2 linked regions of the Sus scrofa genome follow. The protein of the gene in region 1 interacts with the protein of each later gene in a biochemical or structural test. Links are inferred from orthologs where the notes say so. Each region holds a gene or a part of one and is shown on either strand. Other genes may lie near its edges.

The links.
Region 2: the proteins of IRF4 (region 1) and STAT6 form a complex in vitro, tested with the Homo sapiens proteins (2 studies listed by BioGRID). The link is inferred for Sus scrofa from reciprocal best matches to the Homo sapiens genes IRF4 and STAT6.

The regions. Positions count from the first base shown.
Region 1 is NC_010449.5:138,349-146,182, reverse strand, and holds part of IRF4 (interferon regulatory factor 4), read right to left. Parts: intron 6,542-7,834; coding exon 6,434-6,541; intron 4,366-6,433; coding exon 4,012-4,365; intron 1,572-4,011; coding exon 1,459-1,571; intron 1-1,458. UniProt on the Homo sapiens protein: Transcriptional activator. Binds to the interferon-stimulated response element (ISRE) of the MHC class I promoter. Binds the immunoglobulin lambda light chain enhancer, together with PU.1.
Region 2 is NC_010447.5:22,403,812-22,410,938, forward strand, and holds the end of STAT6 (signal transducer and activator of transcription 6), read right to left. Parts: intron 6,939-7,127; coding exon 6,844-6,938; intron 6,754-6,843; coding exon 6,617-6,753; intron 6,274-6,616; coding exon 6,127-6,273; intron 5,919-6,126; coding exon 5,855-5,918; intron 5,745-5,854; coding exon 5,634-5,744; intron 5,441-5,633; coding exon 5,348-5,440; intron 4,313-5,347; coding exon 4,247-4,312; intron 4,142-4,246; coding exon 4,013-4,141; intron 3,925-4,012; coding exon 3,735-3,924; 3' UTR 2,553-3,734; downstream 1-2,552. Other genes in the region: NAB2 (NGFI-A-binding protein 2), read left to right, coding at 51-102, 197-329, 550-741, 1,757-1,866. UniProt on the Homo sapiens protein: Carries out a dual function: signal transduction and activation of transcription. Involved in IL4/interleukin-4- and IL3/interleukin-3-mediated signaling.

The sequences.
Region 1 (7,834 bases):
TGGACAATCTGGCTATTTCTGAGCCGAAGGCAAAAGGCAAAAAAAAAAAAGAAGCAAAATCGAACAAGCACCACTGCTCTAGTGGAAAAAGAGAAGTTAACGGACCCTAAATGCATCTACTTCGGTTATTAATGTGGACCACATTCACCCCCCAAAATGACAACACTAAGCTTTTCCTGAATTTACAGCATTTAAGAAAACCGAATGCTTTCAGCCCATCAATTGTACTATTCAATCCAGCCTTCATGTTATTTGACATATAACAGCTTCAGCAGAAGTCATCTGAAGGATCAGAGATAAAGGAAATCCACAGCAAAAGGCAGAGGACTACTGGCTGCACACATGTCCTTCCTCCATCAACTGGTTTCAGGGACCCGGGCTGGATACCTTCGCAGACCCAGGGCCAACCCCCGAGACCCAGGTGCAGGACTCACTTTTGCCTTCAGAGCTGATATTGACAAATGCTGAGATCCTTTAGTCCTCGGACAGTTAACGAGAATCAGTTATTCTCTCCATAATTATATCAATCAGTGGAGAGGGTTCATGAGAAAACTCTAAAGTTTATGGTCTATATTTTCATGTATTGCTGGGTTTTTTGATTTTACATCAAAAGGCAGAGGGTCGCATGTTTAAGATTAGATGATGTTATATTTCAGATTTCAATAAGAAACATTATCAGAACTAAAATCTGACCTGAATTTTGTTATTATTTGGTATAATTTTTACTGTTACTGCTCATTATCTGAAGGTATCCATCAATGGACAGTCTCCAAATTTCAAATTCAAAAATCTTAAGCATTCAAAACTCTGTTTTATGTAGCATATTACTGCTAAATATTATCTATCTAAAGCTTTTTTCTTTCGTTCTTTTTTTTTTTTTTTTTTTTTTTTTGTGAAAAGGTGTTTGCTTGCCACAAATGAACCTGTGTTAAACTCTGCAAGAGAACAGGACAATGGCCTGATCTACTTGTGGTCCTTCCAAGATTTAGCCTCCTCCAAATAACACATGGCTCAGATCCAGAAAAAGGAGAAGGTCTGGGGGACAAGCCAGCGGGCAGCCTCCCATTTGGGAAAAGCTTCTCCATCAAGTGAAGATCAGCTATGTGGCGTTTAAAGAGCAATATTAAATGTGAAAAATTTTAAAGGGTAACATTTAGCATCATCCTTTTAAACCCCTATACAATGAGGAAATGATGATTTCCTTGAAAAATAAAAAAGATGGGACAGAAGCAGCCCATGGCTGGAGGTCACCCTCTGCTTAATAAGTGGACACTGGGGGCTGGAGGCATTCGGTCTCTGGGCTGTGCCTGTGCACCCCTCACTGCACACCCTCCCTCCCTGTGTCCCTCTGCACCCCAGTGCCCGGACACTTAATTCTCGTCTAAACTTCTCTGAATGGGGCCTTGCCCTCGAGGACAGTCAGGAAGCCTCAACCACTGGAGGCAAGAAGACACTCACGTGAGCAGTGATGAGCTTCCGTTGCCTCTGGGGGTCCGGAAACTCTTCCCCGAAGCACAGAGTCACCTGGAACCTTGGCAGGGGCCGGCCGTGGTGAGCAAATGCCTGGAGCTCTGCAGAGACCGTGAGAGGAGCCGCTCAGAAACCCTTGCCCTGGACGCGGGCTAGAGCAGGGCGCCTGCGAGGATGCGGGACTAGACCGGGGGTGAGGTGGGCCTCCAGGGAAGGGCACACACCCGTGTTCACAGCGTCTCTCCCGAGGGCTGCAGCCTTCCCCTCAGGGAAATTCACCCTGAGACGGAGAGCCTGGCTTTGCAGCCCTGGACCCATGAAGAAGCAAAGGTGGCAGCAAGGGGTCAAAGAGGAAGAGAGCGAAACGCAGCCACGTTGAGCCAAAAGAATAATTTACACCCAAGAGACATCTTTTTTTAAAAAAAAACAGAATTTTCTGATTGGACCCAGGTTTACTTAAAAATCTCTTCTCAAAACTGCTGAGCCTTCTAACCCAGTATCTGGGCTCCCCGGGATCTCCACGTGACTCAGGCACCACAGAAAGTGCCTCATGTTGTCTTGGAGACCGAGCTGCATCCCAGACGGTGTGCCTTCTGGCACTGGAGGTGAGAGGTGGCGATGAAACCCTGGGCCCCACTTTGGTGGACATGTGCCTGAAGCCACCTCTGCCACCCCAAGATGTGCTGGGGGATCCCCGCGTTCACCCAGCGGGCCCCTGCCCTCTCGACACACTCAGGCTGGAGGGGGCCTCCAGCCGCTTCTTCTAGAGTCAAACGTCACGTCCTCAGAAGAAAGGCGCTCACACAGCTGCTGCCACGTCTGCAGAGCTGCGGCTGCCTCGGGCTGCGTGCGGGGCTGTCCCCAGGACTCTGCAGGCCCTGAAGGGGTAGATATCAAAGATTTCCACTGTTCTCTTCAACTGAAGTGAAGTTTCTAGCTAACTCACTGGACCATTTGACTTCCTGCTTCTTTTTTCTTCCAGAATTCAAATCTAACCTAACTTCGTCAGAACATGTGCAAGGCCCCCACACCATGAGGTGGGAGGCTGCTCCCAGCGGCAGGCTGGCGCGGTTCCCTGAAACTCGCGCCAAGATGCCTGCTGGTCTGCACTTGGGTTCCTGGGTTCCTCCTTGAACCTCAGCACATGCTTTAGATAAGAGGCTGCCCTGAAGTAAGGGCACAGCCCGGGGTCAGAGGAAGGGAAAAGCCCGAAAGCCCTGGGCGCAGACACCTAGGGAGTGAGCGCATGGCCGGAGGCCTCTTGCCCGTCTTGCAGGGGCCGCCGAGGTCGGATGAGGGTCAATCCCCAAGGCAGGCCGGGGACAGAACCCGGAGGGCAAGGCTGCCCTTGTGGGAACCGTAGTGAACATCCCTGTCCCGCGGCATCTTCCCACCCCAAGGTCCGCAACCTCGGAGGAGACCCCCCCCAGGGTTCTGTGGGACCCCAGACACCAGAGCTGCGGCTCTCGGCTCCTTCGCAGGCCTCACTGCATCCACACGCTGGACCCCTGGACCCCAGGACCAACGGAAAACCCACATGGAGGCAGTGCTGCCACTCTGGGTGGGGGAGGCTTCAGACCAAGGAGGGGGGACCAGAGACTCGGCATCCCCGCCTCGTCTGGCCTCTGTGGGGGGGTTCATGGTCGGGGGATGTGTTTGCTTGGGCGGCAAAAGAGAATCCAGGTGAGCGCAGAGAGTCCAGACACTGAACCCCCAAACCCCAAGGCTGAGCCTGTGTCTCTGGCGGTGCAGCAGGGGTGCCGTGTTTGGTTTACACAAAGCAGGGCACAAAGCACTTCAGGGACTGGAGAGGCACCGAGAGCCCAAAGGGTGCTTCCGAAGCGGGGCTGCGGATAAGATCGTCAGGGAGGGGTGCCAGTGGGCAGGCAGAACCGCCTCCCTCCAGAAAGCCTCGTGAACACCGACGGCTCAGGGACGCTTGGTGAGGCCTCCACAAAAAGGGGGCAGGGGTCTCAAGAGAGTGGCCCAGAGCTAGTCGAACTGCCATGAAATCAGAACTGGGGAAACAAAACCGACGGGTCCCGGAAAATGTGATTTGAAACCTAGAGACAACTCAGCACCGTCTCACGATTTCCCCTCTGCAAAATCAGTTCACTGCACTCACCCCGGTCCCACCTGCTGAAAGGCCTCTACCTGAGAATGACACATCTCATAACCAAGAGTGCCAACAATGCACTGCCAACCTTACGATTTGTCTAGGAACCTTAAAAGCGCTGAAACATCAGCAAATCACAGAGGCAATAAAAACGTGAACCTGATTAGTTGGTGAGCAGTGGGTCAACACCAGAATTTCAAGACCTCGGCCTGAACCTCAGCCCCCTCACTACCCCTCCTCTTCCTACTCCTCTGTGATGGGGTGACAGGTGAGCAGACAGGAAACCCATTCCAGGATCATGCCTGGGGGCTCCAGGTTACACAGAAGGAAGACCAGGAGCAACTGGCCTGCTGCTTCTGACCCCGTGGCCGGAGCGCCATCCGCAGCTCCACTCCCGCCATTCTGACAGAAGCTGGCTGCCTTACCTGATAAGAACTGCTGTGTGTCAAACAGCTTGCAGGTCTGCTCTCTCTCCAGCTTGTTGGGCCGGTCACTGCACAGCGCCAGGGGCCCGTCCCAGTAGATCCTGCTCTGGCAAAGTCTCTTGGCATAAAGCCCATCGGGGGCCATCCAGAGGACCACGCCCCTTTCCAGATGGCTCAGCAGCTTCTCAATGTTCTTCCTCTGGCCGCTGTCCTCTGGGTAGGGAAAAACGACCTGGTCCAGGCTGCTGGCATCGTAGGTGTGGCCATGGGAGATCCGGCAGCCTTCGGGGCTGGACGTGGTCAGCTCTTTCACCAGGATTTCCCGGTAGTACAGGCAGATGTGGAGCCGGCAGTCTGCAAACACAGAGCTTTTGGGGTCAGTGCTAAGGAGCCATGGGGCACTGCACACCTGCTAGGATGCCACACTCCCGACCGGAATAAAGCATACTTGGCAGGACCCTCGGAAGACACTGCAAGGCCTCTCGTCCCTCCTGGAAACTCACCCGATGCTGGAGAAGCCGTGCACAAGTCTGGGCAATGTTCCCTACTGGCATTGTCCGGATGTACCGGACACGGTTGGGGGGCGGGGTGGGGAGCACGGGGGTGGCCCACGCTTAGTGTCTTAACACACCGATTCACAAGCCACTGAACAGAAATGCACTTCAAGCACAGCAAACAATTTTGGTTTTGGAAGAAGCTATGTTTAAATGATTTCTACTTGCAAAAGCGTACAGTGGTGTTTCAGAAAAAAACAAAACTATGTCCACACACCTGAAACTACCCTAAAATATCAATATGATGCCATTTAGCTAAAAAACCATTATACATATGCCGGTACACATTTAAGTGTGCGGAAGGGTAAGTCTTGACGGTGGTTGATCTCTGGGTGGTGGGACTGTGGCTTTTTATTCTCCATTTTTGCTTTTCTGATCTTTAAATTCTTTCTCCGCTGCACATGTGCAGCTTATGTACTAAGATTACCTCGTGAGGCAAACGTTCTGAACCTAAGGTCTGCTGAGACCCGCTTGGCTTTGCGTCGGAGTCGGAGAAAGGCCCTGCAATGGGGCTTTCTCAAACACCAAACAGGATGGATTCTTTTTGGAAGTTTGCTGATTTCAGAGCCTTCTTTAAAATCGGATTCACAGACTAAAAGGACCAAGCCAAGGTTGCCAAGGGCCCCTGACCTGAACCCCAAAGGGCTTCCCGAGAGGCAGCAGCTCCATCCTAACCGCGTGGAGTTCAAACTTGAGCGGATGGCAGGCCTCTGATAAACGGGCAAGTAATTAATCTGTCCCGTGCACTCAGAGAAAGCCACAGAAGCCTCTTATTCCTCAACACAGGTCTTGAGACTCGACCCACATCGCTGCCTCCAGCCTCTTCTGCAACGCCGGCTGCCGTGAGCCCCGAGGAGTGGGTGTTGGCCATTTGAGGTTCATTTCATTGAGCGTCATCAGAAATCACGCGGTCATGGGATATAAATAGCCGTTTATTTCCTACTCTTCAGGCACCCACACAAGTGTGAGGTGCTCAAGAAAAGGATTGAAAGTTTCTAAAAACAAACACGGGCCTTTCTGCTTAGAGCCCTTCCCAGCCTCCATCACCCAGGAGCCCCTGAGAAGAAAGGCAGCACCCTTGCAGAGCCTCAGAGCCAAACCCTTGTTTCCTGAAACCCTGAGAATTCACTTTATAGTTTCTGTCACTGATTTTCAAAGAGACCAGTGTGTGAGGTGAGAATTCTGAAGCTTAAGCTGTTCATTTTTAATACAAGTACAAACCCCATTTTAAAACAATCAAAACATTATCTAAAAACAATAAATGTACATACATCACATATGCTCAGTAAAGCCTGAGCTGCCTTCCTTACACCGGGCGGGGGTTGCTAAGATGCAGGGGTTCTTTCAGAGATGAGACTTTAAAAGCCACATCTAATCCACCTTTGTTTGCAAGACATTTCACGTTCAGAGGAAGACAGGGTGCTTGTCCCTTGGCCTTCGAACGTGATGAGAGAGAGGACCCAGAACTGGGTGCCCGGGAAGCTGAGGGGCCACCTGTTTGCAGCTAAACCTGGAAGCGTGCGGAGCGTTTCAAAACGAGGCACTCCTGTGCTTGGTCCTGAGAAACTGCACTAAGCTGTGGGGGTTCTGGCTGAAGAGGGGACCCAGCAAATGAATCCGGGGTGTCTGCACATTCCTGGAAAGTTAGGCGTCAATGGGGAGCTTTAAAAGACTCATTTCAGACAGCCTGGAGAAGCGGATCAGGATCAGGAGCCGGCCTCTGGTGGCTAACTTTTCTAACCTCACTCACATAGTCAGGAGTCAGAGGTTCCCACCCGCCCCAGGCCCCAGCTGTGCTCAGCCACCCCCTGGAATCTACCCGAGGTGAGGGGAGCCTCTGGACGCCGCCTCCTGGGAGCCCCACTCACCTGAGAGGGCCAAGGCTTCGGCAGACCTTATGCTTGGCTCTATGGGGATTCCGGGGGCCTGGGACTCAGGCGGGGCACAAGCATAAAAGGTTCCTGTCACCTGGCAACCTGCGTTTGCAAACAAAAATCAGACGCCATCTAAACAGAGTCCAACGCAGAGGGGGGTGGCCTCTCCCTGAGGTGGGGCCGGTCAGCCCCGGATGCACCGACGGGAGGGGCAGCCCGAGATCCAAGGAGGAAGAAGCCTTTTCCCAGCCGGAAGGAAACTTAGAGTCTCCGTCTGTAATTTCCTTCCTGCCTTCTTCCGACCTGCCTTCTTCCTGCTTGCTTTCCTGCCTTCTTCCTTTTTTGTTAGCACCTCCATCCCCTCCCACGATTACCTGTGCGAAAGGTACCTTTAAAATCAGAGAACACCTAAAATCTACTCTACCTGCACTTTGAACATGACAGACCGTCGTTATCTGCGGTCTCCAGGCTGTGTCTGTCGCACCCCAGGATGCATTCGTCTCATAATTGGAAGTTTGTCCCCTGGGACGAACATTCCTGCGTAACTGATAACAGGGTAACGGAGGCTCAGAGAAATGGGGTGATTTGCCCCATCCACACAGCAAGTTCACAGCAGCGCTGTGAGCCCGGGTCTCTCTCCAATCCGATCCGACACCAAAGAGCCCAGTCAAGAACTTACACACTGTTTGGTTCCAGTTTACTTAGCTGCTACTTCTGGGCTCAGGAGAAAACTGAACCAAAAGTCATGCCAGCACGATAGCTGTGCGTTGCGTTAAACATCACTAGAGAAAGTATGGGACAGAACCTCGTTTTGCTGGCATATGACTAAAGCCCCTTGTGCCCATCTGGTCTATCTTCTCACAGTTCCAGGCACTGCCTCTTTATGAGGTGATGAGTTCAATGGAGCTGGTGCACTGGAAACAGGTCTGAACTCCAGAAACCCCTGCAACATTAGCTGATTCCTGCACCACAATATGGAAAACCAACCTTTACTGCACATGACTGTTGAAAAGCTAATAAAACCCAATTCTGAGCTTTTTTAACAAACATGCCACTCAACACAAATCTTAAGTAATTGTTTGCTTGCTCAATACCACAAGCCAAGAGTGACCTGGACATGACTAGAAAAAGGAGCAAATATTCCTAGAACAGACAAAAGCATCTGTGTGTTGACTGGTCTCAGGATTTCGCTTAAAAACTGACTCAAGAGCCCTAAAAACTTCTGCTTTGCTGTACTGAATATACCATGTGAACTTGTCTCTGCACTCAGCAAACTTGTGCTTCTGCTGCGAGCTCTCATCCTGGGGTTGAGGAAGGCCTCCAGTTGACCACATGTAACCCAATCAGCTCCAACACTAAGCAGGCCCCCTGTGGAGACTTCTCGTGTTTTCTTTA
Region 2 (7,127 bases), on another chromosome or scaffold:
CACTTGTCCTTCCCCAGCCTCACTCTCCTTGTTCCTCTCCATCTTTGAAGGCTTCACCCCGAAGAATTGGGAGGCCCCCCACTGAAGAAACTGAAACAAGAGGTAGGTTTTCCAGGGTGCATATAGGGGGTTAGGGCAGCCTTCCCTGGTCCCCTCCCTTGCCAGGTTTTCATTTCCCCATTTGGGGCCTCTACAGGTTGGTGAGCAAAGTCACTCTGAAATCCAGCAGCCTCCCTCAGGCCCTGAGTCCTATGCACCCCCATACCGCCCCAGCCTGGAGGAAGACAGTGCCAGCCTGTCCGGGGAGAGCCTGGATGGACACTTGCAGGGTGAGTGTGCCTCGGAACACTTCTCTGGCCACTGGGGAGGGGGGAGCGCAGGGGTAGAAAGCTTGGGAGGAGGGCGCCAGGAGGCAACTCCCTGGAACATGGTTGGGAGGCCTGGCGGGATGGGGGCAAATGGGCCTGGGCCTATGGGTCTGGCTTTGCAGTTGAGGGTGGGGGTTCCGTGGACTGTGGTCCCTTACCTGACCCGTGCCCATGCCCACAGCTGTGGGGTCATGCCCAAGGCTGACGCCGCCCCCTGCTGACCTGCCTCTGGCATTGCCAGCCCATGGGCTGTGGAGCCGCCACATCCTGCAGCAGACACTGATGGATGAGGGGCTGCGGCTAGCCCGCCTCGTCTCCCATGACCGCGTGGGCCGCCTCAGCCCCTGTGTGCCTGCGAAGCCGCCTCTCGCAGGTGAGGCAGCCAGCAGTGCTGTCCCCAACCACCCCTGCCACCCAGGCTCTCCCCCAACACACACAGCAATCCTGGTGTCCTGGGGCCAGGTGGGAGGAAGAGGGATGTAGTCACCAGAGAGGGCAATAAGGATGGTGGAGCTCCAGCCAACCAGGCCTTGGGTTGAGGAGAGGGGAGCCCTTGGAGGGCTGTTCCCAATAGGGAGGGTCTGACCCTAATGGGCATCTCTGAAGGGGGAACTGGGGAGCAGGAAAAGGAGGGTCATCAAGAAGAGAAGCTTGGATAGAACTTTTACCAACACAGGAGGGTGGAGCATTCTAGGAGTAGGGGTGAGGTTGCCAGCTTAGAATTGGACGAGCCCAAAGGGGTATGCTTGGTGCGTGGATGGGGGAAGGGGGAGTGAGGGAGTAGGCCAGCAGAGGGCCGGGCAGCGGCTGGGCTGAGAGTGACGCAGCAGACAAAGCCACCAACCCTGGCTTGGTATTTTTAAACTGTGTGTGGGTGGGAAGTGGGGGCGGGGACTGAAAGAGGGGCTCTTCTTGGGGGAGGAGCTGGGAGGTTGGCTTCCTGTGATCCCCTTGATTTGGCTTCTAAGAAACTGGGGGGGGGGGGCGTGCATGGTAGGGTAGGCAGGGCCTGGGAGGAGGCCAGGGATGAGTGGGGGCGGCAGAGCCTGGGAAGGGGGGAGGGGGAGAGGTCACAGCCAACCCGCCCCCGCAGCTCCTGACAGAACCAGAAATTCCAGCAGAACGGAGGCGGGAGAGACCGAGAAAGAGAGAGACACTTACAAAGACCGAGAGCTACACACTGCTAAGAAGGGGAAGGGGTGCACACACTTGGCTATAGAAACCCCCCCCCCCACATACATGCACTCACCCGCGCGCGCGCGAGGTGGGCTGAGGGCTGTAAATCCGAGCTCAACTTTACAGCCTTCTCTACACCTGCCTTTGTTCTCAACCACCTCTGTCTACAGCGTTCACCTCGCAGCCTCCTAACTGACCCCTTCTCCCCGCAGAGTTCGAGGAGGGGCTGGTAGACCGATGCCCTGCGCCGGGACCCCATCCCGCTCTGGTGGAAGGTCGGAGGAGCAGCGTCAAAGTGGAGGCTGAGGCCAGCCGGCAGTGAGGGCGGGACTGCTGTCCTCAGACCGCGGGGCCTGGGCTCCCGGGTCACACAACCCCTCGACTCCGCGTCCCTGGCACCTAGTCACAGCCCTGGATCCTTCCGCTGCCCTTCTCCTGCCTCCCCACCGGCCCCATGGGCATAGAACTATGGGGCTTCAAGCAATAACGAGCAGGGGCCTGGCGAGAGGACACAAGGAGGGTGCGTGGTGCCCCCCTCACCGTTGCCCAGAGCAAGGGGCAAGGACTCTGCCTCCAGGGCACTTGGGGTTCTCCCCTTCCTTACACAGCACACTCCCATTCTCTAGTTTGAACCAGTGGTGTGAGCAGTTGGACTCGGTTTGGACATGGGGGAAAGGGGGACTATCCTGGGAGGGTCCAGCAACTAAAAGTGGAAACATTTCCCCCCCAGAACTGGGGGCCTGGGAACACTGGACCTGATCCTCCCTCCATTCCCCCATTTTTGTGCTTCTAGTTTGTTTCTTTAATTTAACAAGTGCTGCAGTTTGCCTACCCATCCCCATCCTTCTCCCAAGTCCTCAGCGGTTCTCTCCCTCCTGCCCTCTCTAGGGGGGCATGGGGTCCCCTTCACCAGCCCCCTCAGGAGGCTTGGGTGGACTCAGGGTCTCCCTTAGCTGGGGGCTGGGCCGCAGCACCTGTCTGAGCAGTTAGAGCATCTTTCTTTTCAGATCGTGTACAGTAGATTATTTATTTTGTTATTTTGGAATAAAATTTATTTTATGGCTTAGGATCTATGACCCCCAAGATGGAGAAAGGGTGGCATGGGGCAGGGGAGTGGAGGGAAGCTGGCGGTGGCTGGGGAAATAGAAAAGAAGCAGTGGGTAGGGCCCCCGATACACCCAAAGGACCACACACTTGAGTCTGGACCCCAGACTCTCTACCCCCTGCCTCTGGGCAGGACTGGTGGTGATGAGCCACCAAAACTACAGCCATATGCAGATGTCACAGCCACGAAGACCCCTCTGGGCACAGTTCTCAAAGATGAGTGAGTGCATTTGGGTTCGCATACACCAGAGAGGCCAGCATGCTTGCTGGTATCTTTTGTGCAGTGTCTCACACTTTCAAACGTGTGTTGTCACACAGGCAAAATCAGAGAGGTACATGTTCTATGTGGCTGTACAGCTAACGTGTGTGACATCTATATAGTAACATGTCTCAAGTACACATACTTTTGCACAGCTATACACACAAACTCAGCCTTTGTACTTCTGCATAATCTCATGCACATGTCCAGAAGCCTCCATCTGACTGACAAATTTGGAGCTGTTCAGGATTCATCTTTTAATCCAGGCAAAACCCATATCAGTAACCAAATGTACAGACCCTCCCTCCTCCTACCCAGTGTCTCCTGAACTGCTTCCCCATCTCCCCGGGGGCTGGGACCCAAGCCTATACCTCCACCCCTGGCATCTGGTGCAGATGTGTGCACATGTCCACATGTTTCTACATGTGTGAGTCCTGAGCCCTGGCTCCAGGCAGGTGGAGAAGCCCTCTGTGCCCTCATCTGTGCTCCTGCCCAGCCCTCTTCCTGCTCAGCCCCATCCTCCAGGGAGGGCCGTATGTGTGTTTTCCGCGTGTACAGGCATGCTGGGGCTGGTCTCACTTGGAACCTGAATTACCCTTCCAGCATTTGGAAGGGGGAGGGCAAGGGTGTGTGGTGGGAGGGAAGGAGCTGAGAGGTTCCACCCACTGTGCGTTCTCCTGGCAAAGTCCTTTGCTCTTGGCCAGGATGTAGGTGGGGACAAGAGGACACCCGCCCCATCCGCTGCTTGGCAGGAGCATGGGCAAGTGTCCAGAGCAGGTCCGAGGGGGCAGGAGAGCTGTCTCTCTGGGTTCCCCTTCCAGCTGGGATCACCAACTGGGGTTAGCCCTTAGGTCCAGATGGGACATGGAGATCCCAGACTGCCCATAGAGGGAGGGCTGCAGGAGGGGCTGGGCTCCCAGGGACCCTCCCCCTGACTCCCCTTGCCCCTCCAAGAGAAGCTTAGTGAGGTCCTGTTCAGTGGGAGGCAGCAAGGGTGGGAACATGTCTTCACCAACCCTGCAGGGAGAAAGGGAGAAGCAGTGGGATAGGCATGGCACCCATTCCTCAGCCCCCACCCAGCCTCCACCCCGAGGCCAATACTCACCAGGTGCCTTGAGGGAACCCTCCCACTGGCTGGCTCAGGCAACTCTCTTCTGCCATGGTCACATCTGGGCAGAGCAGGGGCTCAGGGCTGGACACAGCATGCTCCTGAGGCTGGCATGGCAGTAGGCCCCTGCCCAGGCCCAGAAAAGTAAATGAGGTGGGGGGGGTGGCTTCGAGGCTGGGAATCAATGGGGAGCTTGAGATCAGAATGGGGGAGGGGTGGTTTGTCACTCACTGTGGGTGAGGTTGGTCAAAGGGCAGGCCCATCTGGCTCAGGTTAGGGGGCATCTGCAGGTGAGGTCTGGAAGCAGGAAGGAGGGCACAGTCAGAGAAAGGAAGAGGTGGGCAAGAGCAGGGTGTTGCAAAGTCAAGACCACTGAGTGAGGAACAGAATTTCCTGCTCCTTATCCTGACGGCATAGCTTTGGGTAAGCCATTTCTACCTGTGCGCTTGGTCTTCTCACTTGTATAAGTAAATGTAGGGACTGGGGGCAGGGGGAGAGGAGAGCTAGATTAGCTAGGCTAATTTTTTCCTTTTTTTTTTTTAGGGCCGTACCCTGGCATATGGAAGTTCCCAGGCTAGGGACTGAATCAGAGCTGCAGCTGCCAGCCTACACCACAGTCACAGCCACACAGGATTCAAGGCACGTATGCAATGACCAGTCATTGGCAATGCCGGATCCTTAACCCACTGAATAGAGGCCAGGAATCAAACCCGCATCCTCATGGATACTAGTCAGGTTCATTACCACTGAGCCACAACGGGAACTCCCTAGATTAGCTGATTTCCAAACTCTGAACTCTGGTGGTTCTAAGTCCCCCCAGTCCCCACCCCCACTGCAACTCCTGGGAGAGGAGATGTCCTGCCTTGACTGAGAGTTACTAAGAATGTGAGTGCTACCTGGAGAACAAAAATATCTACACCACTACAGGGCCAAAAAGAGGAATAAATAAAAATCAAGACAGCAGATACATGACAGTCAATTTCAAGGGCAGATCAGATAATATTAGTACTTAAATGGCTCTTGCTAGGAGCCAGGTACTATGCATAGCTTTACACATATTATTAACTCACCCTTCACAATAATCCTCTGAGGAAGGTATCAGCATTTTTCCCCATTCTACAAATGAGGCTCCAGAGTTAAGTAACTTGCCCAAAGTCAGAATTCCAACCTGGATCTTAACCACTAACACCCCAGTGGAGTGGACAGAAGAGACCAAAGTGCTAGGGGTTTGCCACCCCTTTCTCACAGAAAAGCCTCTCCCAACAAACGCAATTGCCCACCCCCAATGCAGGGGGGTGTCCCACCCCATCCCCCAGAGGTGCCCCCACTTACTCCTGGAAGGCTGACAACACACTGACCGATTCTTCCCGGGGGATGGCTGGATATGAGGGGATGGAGTGAGAGTGTGGTGGATACATCTGGGACCTGGGGAAAAGAAAGCAGACCCCTGATGCCAGCCCTTCTCCTGGACACCCCCACCCCTGCCTCAAGATGGGGAATTCCTTTCAAGAAAAGGAAAATGCCCCACTTCAGCCCCCCCTTTGCCAGCTCTCTGGCTGCCCATGCCAAGGGCCCGCCTGCACGGATCCCTCCTGTTTCCATCGCTCAAGCTTCTTACACCATATCTGGGCTGAGCTGCATGTTCATGGAGGTGTCAGGGGCCATTCCAAGATCATAAGTGGGCACCATGGTGGGCATTTGGGGTTCTGGGGTGGGAAGAGGCTGGTCCCTGGAGGAGGGGAGAAGACGTGGGTGACTGACCAGGGGTCGATGCCACCACCCCTTCCTACCAGTAAGTCCCAGGCCCCCCCAACCCTCCACCCACATCAACACACTCACCTTTCCACAGTCATCTTGATCGTAGCTGGGACATATCCCCTGCCATCCTTACCCATCTGCTCAGCTGTTGTGGGGAGGAAAGGAGAGCCTTGGAGTGCTTCCGGGTTAGGGAGGTGGAAAAGGTGGGCATGGCTGAGAGGCAGGTAGGAGACACAGGGTGACGAGGATGGAGAGAGAAGACAGGAATGACACACAGTGGGCAGGGAGGGGGCAGCTGGGAGCAGGAAGGAGGTGGACAACAGGAAGGAATCAGAACTTCGGGCCCAGCTCACGTTTGTAGTGGCTCCGGAAAGCCTCATCCTTGGGTTTCTTGGGGTAGAGGTTTTTGAGCTGAGCAAGGTCCCGGATTCGGTCCCCCAGTGAGCGAATGGACAGGTCTTTGGCAGAGAACGGCTGGATGTTCTCTATCTGTGGGGATCCTACAACAGAAATGAGGCCCTGAGTCCCCTCTGTCCAGACTTTCTTCCTCTTACCCTGCCAACCCCACCACACCCTTGGACTTATCCTCATTCCACCAAGATAAAGAGGAGAGGAGCTACGGTGAGGGTCCTGAGCAAGGGAGACCCACCAGTCTCCATTGCCACAGAGCTCACAGTGAGCAGGCAGAAGTTTAGCCCACAGAAGGCAGAAGAGAAGTTGGACCTAAGAAAGATCTTCCCGAAGATCAGGGTTGGCAACAAGGAAGGCCAAGACATTTCCTTCCCAGAAGAAATCCCAGAGGGCCTAGGGATAGAGGCAGCAGATTGGCTGGGGTGACCTCACCATCCTGGCCTCTGATAACGTGGGCAATGGTGATGCCCCCAATCTCTGAGTCACTGAAGCGAAGGAGGAAGGTTCCATCAGGTTCATTGAGGAGAAGGCTAGTGACATACTGTTTGCTGATGAAGCCAATGATCAACCTGGCCAAGAAGACGGAGAGGGTATGGGTGGAGGTACAGGGTATGCAACAGGAGGTACAGTTGCTCAGGCCGCCCGGGGCAGGGACTCACCGATCTGACCAGTAGCTCCGGAGACAGCGTTTGGTGAGGTCCAGGACACCATCAAACCACTGCCAAAAGGTGAAGCCACGACCTAGCAGGATCTCCTATTGGGCGTGTGGGGAGCTGGTATGAGGACAGGAGGGCCACAGCGAGAGCCTAATTAGGGCAGGCACTGGGCTGTGAGTACCCACACAACAGAGTCACAGGGCTGAGGGTCCACACTGGACCTGAGACCCCCATCAGTGACAATGGTCAGCACTCAAGCTTACCATGTGCTAGGTGCTATTCTAAGC